Linked DNA regions of Notamacropus eugenii. The protein of the gene in region 2 binds, or shares a complex with, the protein of the main gene of each other region. Links are inferred from orthologs where the notes say so. Each region holds a gene or a part of one and is shown on either strand. Other genes may lie near its edges.

Region 1 (7,436 bases), on a different chromosome or scaffold from region 2:
AGATAGAATGCTGGGCCTAAAGTCAGAAAACCAATCTAGAGTTCCAATCTAGCTACAAACATTTCCTAGCTGTATGGGCCTGGGCAAGTAACTTGATCTGTTTGTCTTAGTTTACTCAACTGCAAAATAAGGATAATAACAGAACCTACCTCCCAATGTTACTGAGGGGATAAAATGAGATAATAATTGTAACAGCACCTAGCTAAACAGTGGGCACTTAATAAATGCTTGTTTTCTTCCTTCTTTATCCCACTACTAGACTTTTAGCCCCATCAAGTCAAAAAGAATATCTTACATAAACTGTATTTCCTTAGAGTCTAACACAGTCCTGTGCACATGGTATGGGCTTAAATAAATATTTCCTGCATTGAATAGAGTATGTCAAACATAACCCTTTTCAGGTAATTTGTGTGATGTTGAGAACTAATGAACTAATAAAGCTCAGAAAATTTAAGGCACAAAAACAGATAACTACAATCTAAAATATTACAAGTATATTACAAAAAGTGTAAAAGCATTAGGCATAAAGAGGAAGATCTTTACCTTCTATGGGCATCAGGGAAATCTTCACATAAGAGGTAGCATATGATTTCAGTTTTAAAAGATGGAAACAAGGTGAAGAACAGAACAGTTTTCTCATCTGTAAAATGAAAGGATTGAATTAGATGATCTTTAAATCTTACTCTAAAAATTCTCAGTGCCGAAAGCTAACAATGTAACGTCAAGTTTGATAATGCTTATTCAAAAATTCAATTTATCAGAAGCATTGGTAAAAACTACACTATAAGGACCTAGTCTGTGGTTACACAAATTTTTTTAAAGTTGTAGGAGAAATTAGATGAAACTGTTGATTAACTTTGGCTTTCAGTTTCATCTGTGAAATTCAATTTTATCTCCTTTCTACTAAGGCTAAGCAAGAGCAAAATAGATAAAGAAGAAACTAAGTTTTGATATAATAGCCATTCTTTTAAGAACAGCTAATGTCCACCTGCAGGAAAAAATTGTTTATTAGTTTGGAGGAATTATTAAGAATACCATGTGAGAGAAATATGTTTTGGAAGGTTTCCACTTAACCCTAAGAGGAATTTCTTCCTACCTTCCTATAATGAGGCAATTTGAAGGTTCTTGATAATCATAAAACCTGGGCTAGAATGGGCTAAAAGTAACCCACATTTGAAAATTCTTTTTTTCACTTAGTTTCATCAAATTCTAGTTAACTAGTCTGTAGCATGACATAACACAAAGACTCTTTCTTGGATTATTTAAACTACCACTTTTTAATACTGCACAAAATAGCCAGTTAAAAGATTAACTCACAATTCTACTAGACAGAGTATGAATGACTTTATTCAGTTTATGTATTTTGCTACAGAAACCAGCGTACTTTTTAAGTTTTAAAGCAACCTGAAATCACTAAGGATAATTCAGTATGGTTACTATATATAATTCAATAAAATATTTTAGAGGGATCAAAATTGTGTTGTTCAGTTGTTTCTGACTCTTCATGAGCCCATTTGGGGTTTTCGTGGCAAAGATACTGGAGTGGTTTGCAATTTCTTTCTCCAACTCATTTTATGGATGAAGAAACTGAGGCCAACAGGGTTAAATAAAGTACTCAGGGTCACACAGCTAGTATCTGGGGCTGGATTTGAACTCACAAATATGGTTCTTCCTGATCCCAAGCCCAGTGCTCTCTTTATCTACTATGCCAATTCAACAAACATTTATTAAGGGCCTACTATGTGCATGAAGTTGTGCTAGACAGTAGGAATACAAAGAAAGATGAAACAATTTTTGTCCTCAAGGAGTTTACATTCTCTTATGAGACAACAAAAATGTACATAGAAAGGTCAATATAAAATAAATACAAAATAGCCACAGTGAGGTAGGAAGAATACTAACATATAGAGGGGGAGAGATAAGTAAAGGATTAATTTCAGGAGAAATCTCTTGGTGCTGTGCCTTGAAGCAGTCTACAGATCCTAAGAGGCACAAGTAAAGAGGCAGTAAATTTAGGACATGAGATATTTGACTATGAAAATGTCAAGTTTGGAGAAAACAAGTTGGCCAATTTGGCTAGAAGAAAAATGCATGACAAGGGGTCATGTGCAACTGTCTGGAAAAATAGGTTGGTTAGGGTTAGGTGGTGGTGGGTTTCAAATGCCAAACAGGAAAATTTGTATTTTATCCCGGGAATTTGGCAACTGACTGGACACAAGGGGTGAGGGAGAATGAAGGAGTGCTGATGACTCTGAAGTTGCAAACCAAGTTGTCTGGAAGGATGAGGAGGGCCCTTTACAGAAACAGGGAAGATGGGAAGGGGAGAGAGTAAGGGTAGGAAGATAATGAATTCTGACTCACTAACACATGAATTCTTTATCATCCATCAGAACAGCCGAAAGCTTCTAGGAGAGAATAATTGAGCTTGGGTCCGGGGAGAGAACTTGATCTTTTGCATGATTGTACATGTATAACCTATATATAACTTCCCATCTCAGAGAGATGAGGGGGAGGGAAGGAAGGGAGAGAATTTGAAACTCAAAAACGTTTTTTAAATGTATGTTAAAAATTGTTTTTACAAGTAACTGGAAAAAATACAATATTCCCAGATAGGACTTGGGTGAACCCAAGACCAACACAGAAAAGAGCAATGAGATGGTATTTCTAGAGAGGAAACCTAAATCACTTACACATTTTTATTTGACCTCTTTATTGAGGACAAAGGAAACGGAAAACCAAAAAAGTATAATTCATTAGGTAGTAAGGTTAGTGATATTTATCATTGTTATTAATCTGGAAGTTGGAGTGAACAATGCACAAGTATATTTCAGAGTGCTTAGGAAGTACTAAGTTGAAAACCACAGGAAACATAAATGAGCAGAGAGGAAGGAGTATAGATGTAAATAGGAGACAGAGGTTGACAGTTGAGCACCCAACCATATTTTAAGCATCCAACCATATTCTAGAACAGAAAACAGGATTCAACTGGTAAAAGTTATAGTATGTCTCAATGCTATTAATTTGGAAATGTGCAAAAAAAGATTAAGAAAATAATATCTCTTTATTATTTGAGATATCTGACTGAAAGAAGGAAATCAATTTTAGTTCACTGAACAATAATAGCTAAAGAAGGATGTAATATATCCGCAGTTTAAGTTCTCATGTAACAGAGATAACTCAGCCTTGGAAAGTGGATCATGGTAGCAACTTTATGAAACTACGAAGACGAAAAAGAATCAGACTGCCAGTGGGGAAAAAAAGGCACTTAAAATAACAGGAAAGATTAGAGGAACAAGTGATCGAATGGGGGTTGGGGATATAAGACATAAATATCAGCGAATACAATATGTAAATGAGATTGCACAGAACACAAAAACAGACACTGGAGGAAGTTTCTTTCCAGTCGGTGCTGACCCTGATAACGATGATCACTATTACATCGTCTGGTTTAAAATACCTGTTTTTATTCTCTTTTAGGATGGGCTCTCCCTTAAACTAACCCTTCCTAGCCGCACTGGGCCACCCCTAAATGCTCCCATCTCTTCGCGGGGATCCTTTCAGATGATACGACATCCCAGTAAGTACCGTAAGGGCAGTTTTCGGAGTCCCTAGTCTGGCACCCCGGCTTGGACAGCTAAGATACTGCCCCCAAGACGACCCAATCAGATCCAACCGCGATTCTGTCAGACTTCCAGGCTCCAGTTCTGCAGCACAGGATGGCCAAGACTCGGCGGCAGGACGAGCCCGGCTCCCGGCCCCGGGACCGGCCGGTGTCACCGAAAGCGGCGTCCCGTCAAGCCGAGAACCAAGGCAGCTCCTGCGGAAGGGGGCCCACAATTCTCCTACCAAGGCCAGGGATCCACCTGCGCGCGCCGCCGGCCGGGGTCCGCCGTGCTCGGCGTCCGTCTGACAGGAGACGCGCCGCCTGCCGAAGGGGAGGAAGGCGGGCCGGGCCTGGCGAAGAAGGCGATCGCCCCTCCTCCACGCCCGCTGTCAGACACCCGGCTAAGATGTCCCCATCTCGTCCGACTCGACCGCCGCGCCAAGCAGCAGCTCAAACCCAGACTAGACCAGGACTGGCCTTTGGTCGCCGGAAACCGTTGAAACGCCTGCGCACTTAGACCTTCAGGTTTCGCGCTTCGTGCACGCTAAACTCCACCCCATCACCCCCGCCCCGTGGTGGCCAAAGGCCCGCCCCCTCTACCCTCCCCTGGAGGGGGCGCTTGCGCAGTGGCTGGACCCGAGTGCGCGCGCCGTGGAGGGGCGGCGGCGCGTGCGCAGGGTGGTTGCCTCCCTCCTCCCCTTTTCCTTGGCTCCTCCTCCCTCTCCTCCTCTTCCTCCTCCTCCTCTTCCTCCTCCTCTTTTTCCCCCCTCCCCACTCGGAGCGGTTGGTGCTCGCTCCGTAGCTCTGCTGCCCTCCGCTCCTGGTCTTCCCCGGGCGCTGTTGCGCGGTGCGGCCCCGGTGTGGGAGCGCTTGCGGCCCTGGTTGCGGGTATAGCGGAGAGCTGCCTCGTGCTCCGGGGGTGGGCGCGCGCCGCACGGGGGGATTCTCGCCATGTCGACGGATGAAGTGAACGGTCTGTGCGAGCAGCTGGTGAGGGCGGTGACGGTCATGATGGACCCGAGCTCCACCCAGCGTTACCGCCTCGAGGCCCTCAAGGTAACCTGCAAAGCGGAGTTCGGGGGGCGTCTGGCACCGCCGAGGAGTCCACGCGCTGCGGACGCCGGGCCCGCGGCTCCGCTCCGGCCTGGGGCCCACGAGGCCTGCGAACCCCTCCCCCGTGCTCCCTGGCGCCCCTCTGATGCAGCTCCTCCACATCCCCTCCCCCGGCCCGGCTCACCCCGCCGCACCCAGGCCCCTTCCCACCGCCATGCCATTTCCCGGGCCCTGGCTGCCGGCTACTCCCCCACGCCCCATCCTCGCCTGCCCATCCCCCCTTCTCTTCCAGCAGTCGGGCACAATAGTGCCTGCAGCCCTCGCTGCCTTCCCCGGGCAGTCTGCGTGCCTTCTTCCTTTCCCCCGTTCACCCCGCTCTGTGATCTCTCCTCACCCTGCTCTGCTACCTGTGAACGTGCGGCCCGGTCCCGTGCCCTGCCCGGACTTCTTCCTGGCTGGCATTCCTTTGGTGTGGTTTATAAGCATCTCCCTCCCTTCATCTCTGCCCATTCTCAGTCACCAGTCACCGCCCCCCCACACTCTAGAACTCTAGGATTTGAGCTCGTGGTGTCCAGGCTCCGTTGCATGGAGCTGAACGTCAAGTTTTGCATTTTCCTTTCAACGGTGGCGGTGTCCTTGAGGAAATGGTCTTCTGGGGTTTGTGGGGGAAGGAGGGTCGTGGCCGTGCGCGTTGGTGAAGCTGGGGAGGGGGCAGAATCACACTCCCGTGTTAAACAGGAGTTGTACAGGTAATGACTGATTTGCTCCACCCCACCCCGAAAAGAAAGCTTCATAACTTTATGAATGTTCATCTTGTGCACAAGGAGCGGAATCGGAATAACTAGATCTCTTCATCGGGCTGAAGTATTGTTTCATTTTAATCTGTTTGGCTGGGGTGACAAATCAAAAAAGTAAAGATAATGAATGAAGAATATTTTTGTTTCTTTGTTCATACCTCGATATGTGTTTCCTTGCTGACAATACCAAATAATCCTCTTCATATTTTTTATTCCTCAGCTGCTAGTAAAAGCATTATCTATTTTCTTTTCCTCAGTTTTGTGAAGAGTTTAAAGAAAAGTGCCCCATTTGTGTCCCTTGTGGCCTGAAGTTGGCTGAGAAAACACAAACTCCAATAGTTAGACACTTTGGCCTTCAGATCCTGGAGCATGTTGTCAAGTAAGAGACTCTTATGTACCTGAGATCATTTTAGCCTCATATAGCCTGTAGTTTTCCCACTGAACCTTCTGAATATTAAGGATTGTTTTTCTTTTTCTGGTGACTTTTGACATATGCGTACATAGTCTTCCTATTACTAGACAAAATCCTATCCAAGGAAGTTTCCCGGTATTGGACTTGAAATCAGCAGAAATTGAGCTAGAATTCTGCCTCAGGTGCTTGCTAACTGAGTGAGCATAGGCACTCAATCTCTCTTGCCTTGTTTTTTTCCCTGTAAAGTGAAATTAATGCCTGTAGTATAAATTCTACCTTACTGAGTTGTTGGTAGGATCTGGGGGCATGATGTGAGGCAAGCATTTTGTAAACATTCAGAATCTAATGTGGTCTTTCTGGTTCTACGTTTCTGTACCTCATGACCTTTCTGAGAACCTTGCTCAGTTCTGAGTACATGAACAGTTCATGTATGATGACTAGTGTAGCATTATCCAGAAATATCAAAAGCTCCCACATGCCAGCTTCCTAATTTTGGTCATCTGTACTCTCTAGGCCAACTACCATTGCAACAGTTGGTGTTTATACACTAAACTAGATTTACACCAGAATTGTAAATATCACCTTAATATCCAAGAAAGTTATACTACCTAGTCAGATAGCATCAAGGTCCTCTTATTGTCTTAGCAGTTATCAGGGGTATATATTTATTTTACTTCATCAAAATGAAAGGACAATAAATAGATGTTTCTGTGTATGTGGTTTTCCACTATTAGCTTTTGTGCACATTAAAATCTATTCTCAGAGTCATGTTGGTATTGGGATTGTACACCCTACTCTGGAGTCTCTCAAGTCTAATCTTCAGAATGAAAGTATTTGTATACATGTAGAATCAAAAGTACATTTATCAGTAGATTCTTTGATGGATGTGACAGCATAATTGAGGTCGGGGAACAGTTCTGTTTCTCACTTTATAAAATGTTCCATGTCTTCTCAGTGTATATCTATTGCATTTCTCCATTTTGCTGGCCAGGTTTCGGTGGAACAACATGTCTCGCCTGGAGAAGGTGTTTCTAAAGAACAATGTCATGGGGCTGATATCAAGTGTAAGTAATAAGTAGTTGGAGAACTTCTGCTAAGGGTAGATTAAAATGAGGTGCTGCTCTTTTAATAATGATTTGGGGAGTATGGTGTGAACTTTTTGTGTAATAACCAGTTTGACAGAAATCAGATAACATTGTAGAAATTTTACAATGCCATTGATGGGGGTGAAGGTTGGGGGCAGGGGGGCAGGAATGACACAGACCAATGGTGTTTCTATTCCAAAAAGGAAGAAGGTCCCCCCTATGGTTTATATGGTAGTGAAATAATGATTTTAAGTGGTGGTCCCTATAAAAACTGTATTTTTTTCTTGAATGTGTGAAACATTCTATTTCTTAAGCTGAATTCAAAAAGTGCTTAATAAATTTCATTCAGAGGGCTACCTGCATAAATGTTTCAAGCAAATTTAAGGATTTTATCATTGCTTCATTTAATATTAACTTCTTTAAGTGGTCAATTCTTGTGTTCAGGAGTCTAAGCTTTTTAGATCTGACTTAGAGTCCAATGCACC
Region 2 (7,967 bases):
TTAAACAATTTTTTCAAGCTCCAGAGGCAAGACTTAATTTTTTGGAGTCCCAGGGACAATGGGCTTAAACACTCTAGACTTCAGTGTAAGCTTGAGAGAAATCCAATTTCAAGTTCTAAGTCCTATAATTTTTGCTCCAACACTTACTGTTATATATTTAGTTTATTTTCAAAGTGTAAAGATTTTTACAACTATGCACACTGACATGGTACCTTTCAAAAATTCAAATATAAAAGTTTACCTATTAGAAACAACTTGGTTAAATGTTACATGACTAACCAATGAAATATTATGCTACAACTTTAATACCTCAGACAAAATATATGGAGGTTCCTTTCTGCTGTTTTAATAAGGTCATAGCCATTTTAGATCTTAAGGAAAGGAACTTCAGCTGAACCCTTTTCATTTTACCTATCATCAAACATCTTGGATTTGGTATATCCAAGCAGACCAGCTGAGATTCAAATCTCAGTCCTCTATTAAACACAGGAGCTCCCCAAAGACCAGAAGTCACTTGTAAAAATGTTTATACATACACATATCTGAAAAAAACTTCTGGCAACATACAGCTGATATAACAACATGCAAAACAGTTGTATACATACCTTGGATGTAATAACCATCTCTCAGACCACCAAATTTCTCTTGGCCAGCTGTATCCCATACGTTGAATTTAATAGGACCTCTGTTAGTATGGAACACGAGAGGATGGACCTCAACACCCAGGGTGGCTGGAACAGCAAAAGGTTTTGACTTAGTTCACTGATTTTATTTTATTGAAATTGGTGCAACTAACTTGTAAAAAAGATACATACCTACATATTTCTTCTCAAATTCACCAGTCAAGTGACGTTTCACAAATGTGGTTTTTCCAGTACCTCCATCTCCAACTAATACAAGCTGTTGAAAAATAAAATATTTTAGGTGGACTTCTCAAAAACACACACAAACATTCTCCATTCCATGTATCAAACAATACCATCTAAATGTCTTAACATCCATTTCCACATACTATGGTGGATTCAGAGAGCTACCACAGTTTAAGTAATCAAGTATCAGACCGTTTTCAGGTTACATTTAACTGTTTTATGTATCAACTAAATCATCTAAATACTTTTTTGGAACATTCATTTGGCAAATACTAACTAGTTCCTTGTTGGATGAAAAAGCCTTACTACAGTTTAGGAGGTAATCAATTTATAAAGATTATTTCAAGGCCTGTTATGTAAGCTGGGATACGGGCGTGCAAACTCTGCTTCTCATCACAAGGCCTTGGGATCCAACGGTCTTTCCTGTGTCCTCAAGAGCCGCCCCAGCCCCCACCTCGGCGATCTCGGCCCCCCCCAGGAGTTACGTACTTTGAACTGCACTTGGGGTTCTCCTTGGGCGGCCATCGCGATGGTTCTGGGGGAGAGACACAAGCGCGTCAGGCCCTCGGACCCGAGGCCGCATGCTCGGGCTCCCCCTCCCCGCCACGTGCCCCGCGGCCCCACAAAGCGCCCCCTCCGCGCCCCTGCTCGGCCCATTCATCCCCGGCCCAGGCCGCGGCTCCTCCCCCCGCCCGCGTGGGGCGCCGACGGCGAGGAGGAGGGGGATGAATGAGGCGCTAATGGCGGCGGCCCTTTTTTTTCCCCCGAGCCTCGGGTTCATTCAACCGTCAGGGCCCGAAGGGCGTCTCCAGGAGACGCCAAAAAGGGGCGGTGGAGGCCGGACCGGGCCCGGGAAAACCGCCTGGTCATGGGGCCCGCGGCGGGAGGGGCGGGAGTGGCTGGAGGAGCGGGGAGGGAAGGCTAGGCCGCCCCCCCCACCGCACCCGCACCGCATTCGCAGCCTCTCCCGCCCCTTCCCCGGCTGCCTCACGATCCGCGGCCTCCGCACGGCCTGGCGGCCGGGGCCTCCTCACACAAAGCGCGCCAAGCCCGGCCCGGTCCGCCGCGGCCGCCCACCCCCCTAGGAGGAGAGACGGGGAGCCCGGCCCGCCGCCTCCTTCTCAGCGTCGGTCCTCGATGCCTTCCTGTCCAACACCCGCCCGCCCGGCCCCCCTTCCCCAGCCCGGGCCAACCCCCCGCGCCCCACTCCGCCGCTACCTTCCAGAAGCGTCTCCGTCTCCGCCTGACTGAACGATGGAAAGATGGCGGAAGCGCGATTCAAATACCCGGAGACGCAGCCGACGCCGCCGCGCGCGCGGAATAGGGAGGGGCCGAGGGGAGCGGAGGGGGGCGGGGCAACGGCGCAACGTGCCCCCACGTGCTCCGGGCGCCGCGCGCCCAAGTCGACGTTACGTTACCGGCTGTCCCCAAAAAAGGGAGAGAGGGCGGGGCCTAGGGGACGGGGGCGGGAAGAGAGAAACGGACTGACAGACCGGGGGCGCGCCGACGTTTGGGCTTTACAATGCAATCGGGAGCGCTGCGGCGGACTATGGCGCATGCGCCACCTCAAACGAGAACGCTCCCCACTCCTCTAATCCCTTCTACCCCCGCCCAGCTAAGCTTTTACCGCGCTCTCGCCTTCATGCTTTCCCCCCCCTGCGCATGCGCTTCTCAAAAGCCTGGCAGAGATTTATCCATGCCGCGAGACCGCGAGACCGCGGTGGAGAGATTTATCCATGCCGTCTTACCTTACCTTTACCGCGCTCTGGCGCTTGGCCTCGGTCCCACCTCGGCTCCCGGTTGGCGTGTGCGCATGCGCACGCGGCCCCCCCAGGCCCTGCTGAGGCAGCCGCGGGAGCGCGCTCGAGCTCTAGTTCCTTCTTTCCCGGCCCCACCTACCTTTCACCGCGCTCTCGCCCCCGCCTCGGCGCGCAGCCGGCTCGTGCGCATGCGCCCCAAAGGACCTGCTGGGAGCGCGCGCCCCAACCGCCTCTGGAGGGAGGTGGGCTCCCGCCAACGGGAGACGCGAGGGCCTCTCCTGCGTCAGGCCCGATGTCTGCCGGGCTTTAGGGTCCGAGCTTGAACCTTCCAGGAAACCGCAAAAGCCGAGACGCAAAGCACTAACCAGAATAAAGCTAACCGTGGGCGTCAGACGGGGCGAAGCGCTTCGCAGAGCGCCCCCTACGCGCCGCGGTGTTATTGCTGACAACATCCGCACCCTCTGGTTCGGCCTTCGCTAACAGCGAGGTCGTGCCCAAGCCTTGATGGAGCGCGGCCTGTGTGGAGGGCACGGCGCCCTCGCGTCACGGAAGGGGAAACTGAGTCAGGGAGGCTCGCCCGGCCTCCTTCCCGCTGCCCCCCACGCCCGCCTCGATGACCCTCGCTGGTTCTCCTCCAAGGGATTTAAAGGCTCGGCAGTCCTCCGAGGAGCCAAGCCGCCTTCCCCCAAGGAGCTTCGCCCAGTCCGGCTTGGGCCCCGGGATGGCTCACCCCCGGTAGATGGAGAGCGGGGAGGGTGCACGTGCTGGAGATGAATGCTGATGCGCTCATCCGGGGCTGAGCCACCCAGCCAGCCCAGGTCCAGCTGCAGTGACTCCCATCCTAACCATGCTGGACACGGGCACGTTCGGGGCTGCGTAAAGGGTCTGACGGGGAGGGAGAGGGTCTGGATGGGTGAATCCTCTGCCCCTCCAGCCATGAGGGTCAGCCCTAGCGCTGGAAGAAATCCAGGCAGCTAGGGGTGCAGAGGGTGGATCCTGGGGACCCAGAGCTGCGTTCAAGTGTGGCTTCAAACACCGGGCTGTGTGACTCTGGGCCAGCCCCTTAACCTGTCTCTGTCTGCCTCAGACTCCTCCAAGGCTTGTTGTGAGGATCGGATGAGACGCTTGGCACAGAGCAGGTTTTTTTTAAAAAATCTCTTTTTTTGAGGCAATGAGGGTTAAGTGACTTGGCTAGGGTCTCACAGCTACTAAGTGTCTGAGGTCATATTTGAACTCAGGTCCTCCTGACTCAGAAAGGGCTCAAGTCCTCTATCTACTGTGCCACCTAGCTGCCTGGACTCTTTGTAAGATACTGTGCTAAGTCCTGGACATACAAAACTAAAAACTGACAGTTGCTGACCACAAAGAGGTCACATTCTATACAATAATGATTTCCATTTATATAACACTAAGGTTTACAAAACACTTTTCGCTGAACAACCCTGTAAAATAGCCTAAATATTATCACTTTTACAGATAAGAAAAAGTATCAAATTGAGATTTGAATTCATGATGGATGAATGGTCCAATTCTTTCCACTGTCATTCTCTGAGTCTCAATTTCCTTATTTACAAATTGGATATAAGATTATAAACACAAGGTTGTGGTAAGGCTCAAATGTAAAATACATGTAAAACACTTTGCAAGCCTGAAGGCATTATATAAATATTAGCTGTTATCATACCAGTCTTCCTCTCATGGAACCTTCAAGACATCTTGTCAAAACAAATCAGTCAATCAAGCACCTTTTATTATGTCCTTAATATGTGCGGGACCCTGTTAGTGCTAGGCATATAAAGTGAAGCTGAAGGTTCCTACTCTCAGAGAACTCACATTATAGTGGGGGAAGATAAAAAATAAAATCAGCCTAAAAAGGAGGGGGAGGGATAAAGTATATGCTCAGGGAGATGGTGGTTGTTGCTTGTCCTTGTTTTGCAAGAGGACTAATATCACAGGGTGATGTCTTCACTTGTGTGTGAATTGAATCTGAGAACTGAAGTTGCAGCATTAGCACTCTCTTCTAGAGTCACCAAAGTCCAGTGGCAAGACAAAAGTTTTGGGAGTTAAAGGAATGGTGGTAAAGTCTGGAGAGCCAGTAGAGCTGGGAGAGGCTGGAAGGATGACTGGCCTGGACACTTTCCCAAAACGGAGGTTTCAAAAGGAACTCCCCAATGAGAAAAGAGGGTCTTAGCACAAAGGGATGTTCCAGAGTGAGGAAGCCACTGACTCTAGTGAAACTTCAAGGCTGAGAAGGTGGCTGATGCACAGTAAAAAGTCTAGAGAATCTGGAATACACTGGTAGAGGAACTTGTAATTGACCAGAGAAACAACATTCCCAACAAGTAGTCATTCTATTTTGAACTTGTTCAATGGCCAGATAGCCATAGATAGAAATTCTGGGAGAGGGTGCTGCCCCTCCTCCATGGGCAAATCCAACAATCCAGTCTACTCCAAGAAATATTTTTAAGTGTCCATTATGTCTAAAATATCATGCTAAATGGTGGGATTAAAAAGAGAAAACAAAACCCAATCCATTTCCCTCAAGGAATTTACAAGAGGCAGAGTGGGGACTTATTAAGTATATACACACATGATTTTTTTGAGATTGATAGAACACTAATGATCAGGGGCATCAGGGAAGATTTCCTCTAGGAAATGACACAAATTGAGCCTTGAAAGAAGCCAGAAATTCTGAGAGGTAACAAGGAAATACAAATGCTTTGGACATGAAGCTAAATTAAAATCTGGACTGGAGAATATTATTTGTACAAGCATGTATGTTTAGCTTAAATAAGAGAATCCTGAGGAGACATGGTATCTGTCTTCAAATATCTGAAGGGCTGACACAGGGAAGACGGGGTTCTGCATGCCTAGAAGGTAGAACTAAAAGCATTGGGTAAAAGTTGCAAACTGAAATCAACAAACATTTATTAAACTCCTACTATGTCCTAGGCACTATGCTTAGTTGTTGCTGTACTTGTCCTTCATTTTCAAAGAGGACCATGACATCAGGAAAATGATGACATGACTTGTAGTTGACTTTGACTTGAGTGCAGGAGGGCTGTGCAAGGTCACACTTTCTCCCCATAAGCCATCTGGATCCAGTGACCTGATATTCATCAGGATGACTGGAGATGGCCCAGGATGCAAAGGGAGACCCTGGCTTGCCCTTTTAGGCTAAGGCTTTTTTTGGTACTCCCTTAGAGTGAGGTAATGCCCATTCAGTGAATAGGCTTCTTTAAGTAGTCAAGGGAAGGCCCCTTTAATTAGAAAAATAAAAAAAAGTCAAGCTGGGAGGGTAAGGCCCTCAGGGTTGCTGTTCCAAAGAGCAACACTTACCACTGAGACTCACTCTAGGAGGACCCTCTCACCCAGGAGGGTCCAAAAAACAGTCATTAAGTGGAGATTGGACAGGGACCTATTGTAGTTCAATCCACTATATAAGAAAGAATTGGCTTTAAACAAACATATACTATGCTTAGTGCAGGAAATACAAATACCAGCATTAGGAAAGATAGTTCCTGCCCTGAAGGAAGGCAATAACAATGTATAGAAAGAAGCTGAGAAGGTACCAGGGTCTAGGCATGATGGAGAAAGTCCAGAGAGTCAAGGGTGGAGCCCAGAAAAGAAGGACAACCTGACTGGCCTGGGCACTCTCCTTAAAATAGAGGATTGGGGAGGAGTTGACCAATCAGAAGAAGAGGCAGAGAGAATTTCTAGGGTGAGAAGGCTACCATGGCATGGTTGAGGATGTCAGAAGAGTCAGAAGTAGATCCTGGAGAAGTCAAGAATGATGTTTAGGTTTGATATCAGAAAAAAATTTCCTTATATCAAGATATAAGGAGATGTCACGTTCTGCAGAGCTAAAGCCCAGCAAGCAAGTTGTACTCTGAACTTAGCATAACAACAATCCTTTGCACTCACTTCTGTAACTAATGGTCCCTGAGCTGAGACAAACACAACAGGCTCAGACATGAAGCCCTGCTACGAATGGACTCTAAAAGGACCCCAACCCTCAGAGTTCAGAGCACACCTCAAGTGAACTGCAGAAGGACTCCAGGAAGGGAAAGAAAGGACTTCCATCTATCAAGGAACTGTGAATTACCCCTTTGCCATATATATTTTCTAAAGTTTAACCTAATTTCCCCTAGATGCTATATATAGTTGTGGGTGAATATATCCCAGTCTTTTGGGGGGAATGTTTTGGGGTTTTTGGCCAATTATTATTACTATACAGCTTTAGTAAATATAGTACCCCTAACTAAAAAGTTAATTAACTCTGACTTGCTAATTGATACTAACTGGTTAAGCAATGGGGAGTACACTGATGGGGGCTCAAGAGAAATAGTACTAGAAAAATCCCTAATACCTCAGAATTACCCCTAGAACCATGGAATGAAAGATAATCAACTGTCCTCTGGGTTTCCAGCCTGCTTACGTGGAAGTTGGGTTAGTGATCCCTGAAGGTGTGTTCTACTTTACATTGTTGTGGTCATTGAGCAAATTGTTCTTTAGGTTCTACTCACTTCACTCTGAATCCATTTATACAAGTTTGTGGTTTTTTTTTTCTCAAGTTTCTCTGAAACCTTTCATTTCATTACCTCTTATGACAGAATAACATTCTATTACATTCAAATACCATTATTTATTGAGCCATTATACAGTGGATGGCATTCCTTCAGTTTCCGTTCTTCACTAGAACAAATCAAGCTACTATTAGTATTTCTTTTAATATATGGGTCTTTTCTTACTTCCTTTGACATTTTTGGAATATAGGCCAATAGTGATATCATAAGTCAAAGAGTAAAAAAATGGTTTAGTAACTTTATAGGGATAGTGCTAAATTGTTTTCCAGAATGGCTGAACAATTTGCAGCTATACCAACAACAGATGATTCAGCATGTTTTTCTACATCTCCTCCAAAATCTGCCATTTTCTTTTTTTTTTTTTGTCTTTTTAAGTCTATCATCTTTTCAATCTTTTTTAAAATTTGATGGATGTGAGATAGAACTTCAGAACTGTTTTCATTTGTATTTCTTTTATTATGAGTGATTTTGAAGGGTTGTTTTTTTTTTTATTATGGTTGTTGATTGCTTGGATTTCTTCCTTTGGGAACTGCCTGTTTTTATCCTAATACCTGTTGGGGAATAGTTCTTGTATATACATAGATTTTTAAATCAGATCCTTAAATATTTTGAATATAAAATCTTTATTAGAGAAACTTGCCGCTAAGATTTTTGCCCATTTAGTTGTTTCCTTTCTAATTGTAATTATATTCATTTTGTTTATACAGGTTTTAAAAACATAGTCCATTTTATCTAAAAGGGATTTTTTTTTT

What was found.
Region 1: RAN (region 2) and XPO5 share a complex: the UniProt entries of both Homo sapiens proteins name them as parts of the nuclear export receptor complex. The link is inferred for Notamacropus eugenii from reciprocal best matches to the Homo sapiens genes RAN and XPO5.

What each region holds. Positions count from the first base shown.
Region 1 is NC_092873.1:106,525,577-106,533,012, reverse strand, and holds the start of XPO5 (exportin-5), read left to right. Parts: upstream 1-4,358; 5' UTR 4,359-4,555; coding exon 4,556-4,660; intron 4,661-5,711; coding exon 5,712-5,833; intron 5,834-6,857; coding exon 6,858-6,930; intron 6,931-7,436. Other genes in the region: POLH (DNA polymerase eta), read right to left, coding at 544-640, 2,362-2,383. UniProt on the Homo sapiens protein: Mediates the nuclear export of proteins bearing a double-stranded RNA binding domain (dsRBD) and double-stranded RNAs (cargos). XPO5 in the nucleus binds cooperatively to the RNA and to the GTPase Ran in its active GTP-bound form.
Region 2 is NC_092875.1:46,255,178-46,263,144, reverse strand, and holds the start of RAN (GTP-binding nuclear protein Ran), read right to left. Parts: upstream 3,072-7,967; 5' UTR 2,995-3,071; intron 2,854-2,994; exon of another isoform or gene 2,088-2,853; intron 2,070-2,087; exon of another isoform or gene 1,904-2,069; intron 1,405-1,903; 5' UTR 1,395-1,404; coding exon 1,359-1,394; intron 901-1,358; coding exon 816-900; intron 732-815; coding exon 606-731; intron 1-605. UniProt on the Homo sapiens protein: GTPase involved in nucleocytoplasmic transport, participating both to the import and the export from the nucleus of proteins and RNAs. Switches between a cytoplasmic GDP- and a nuclear GTP-bound state by nucleotide exchange and GTP hydrolysis.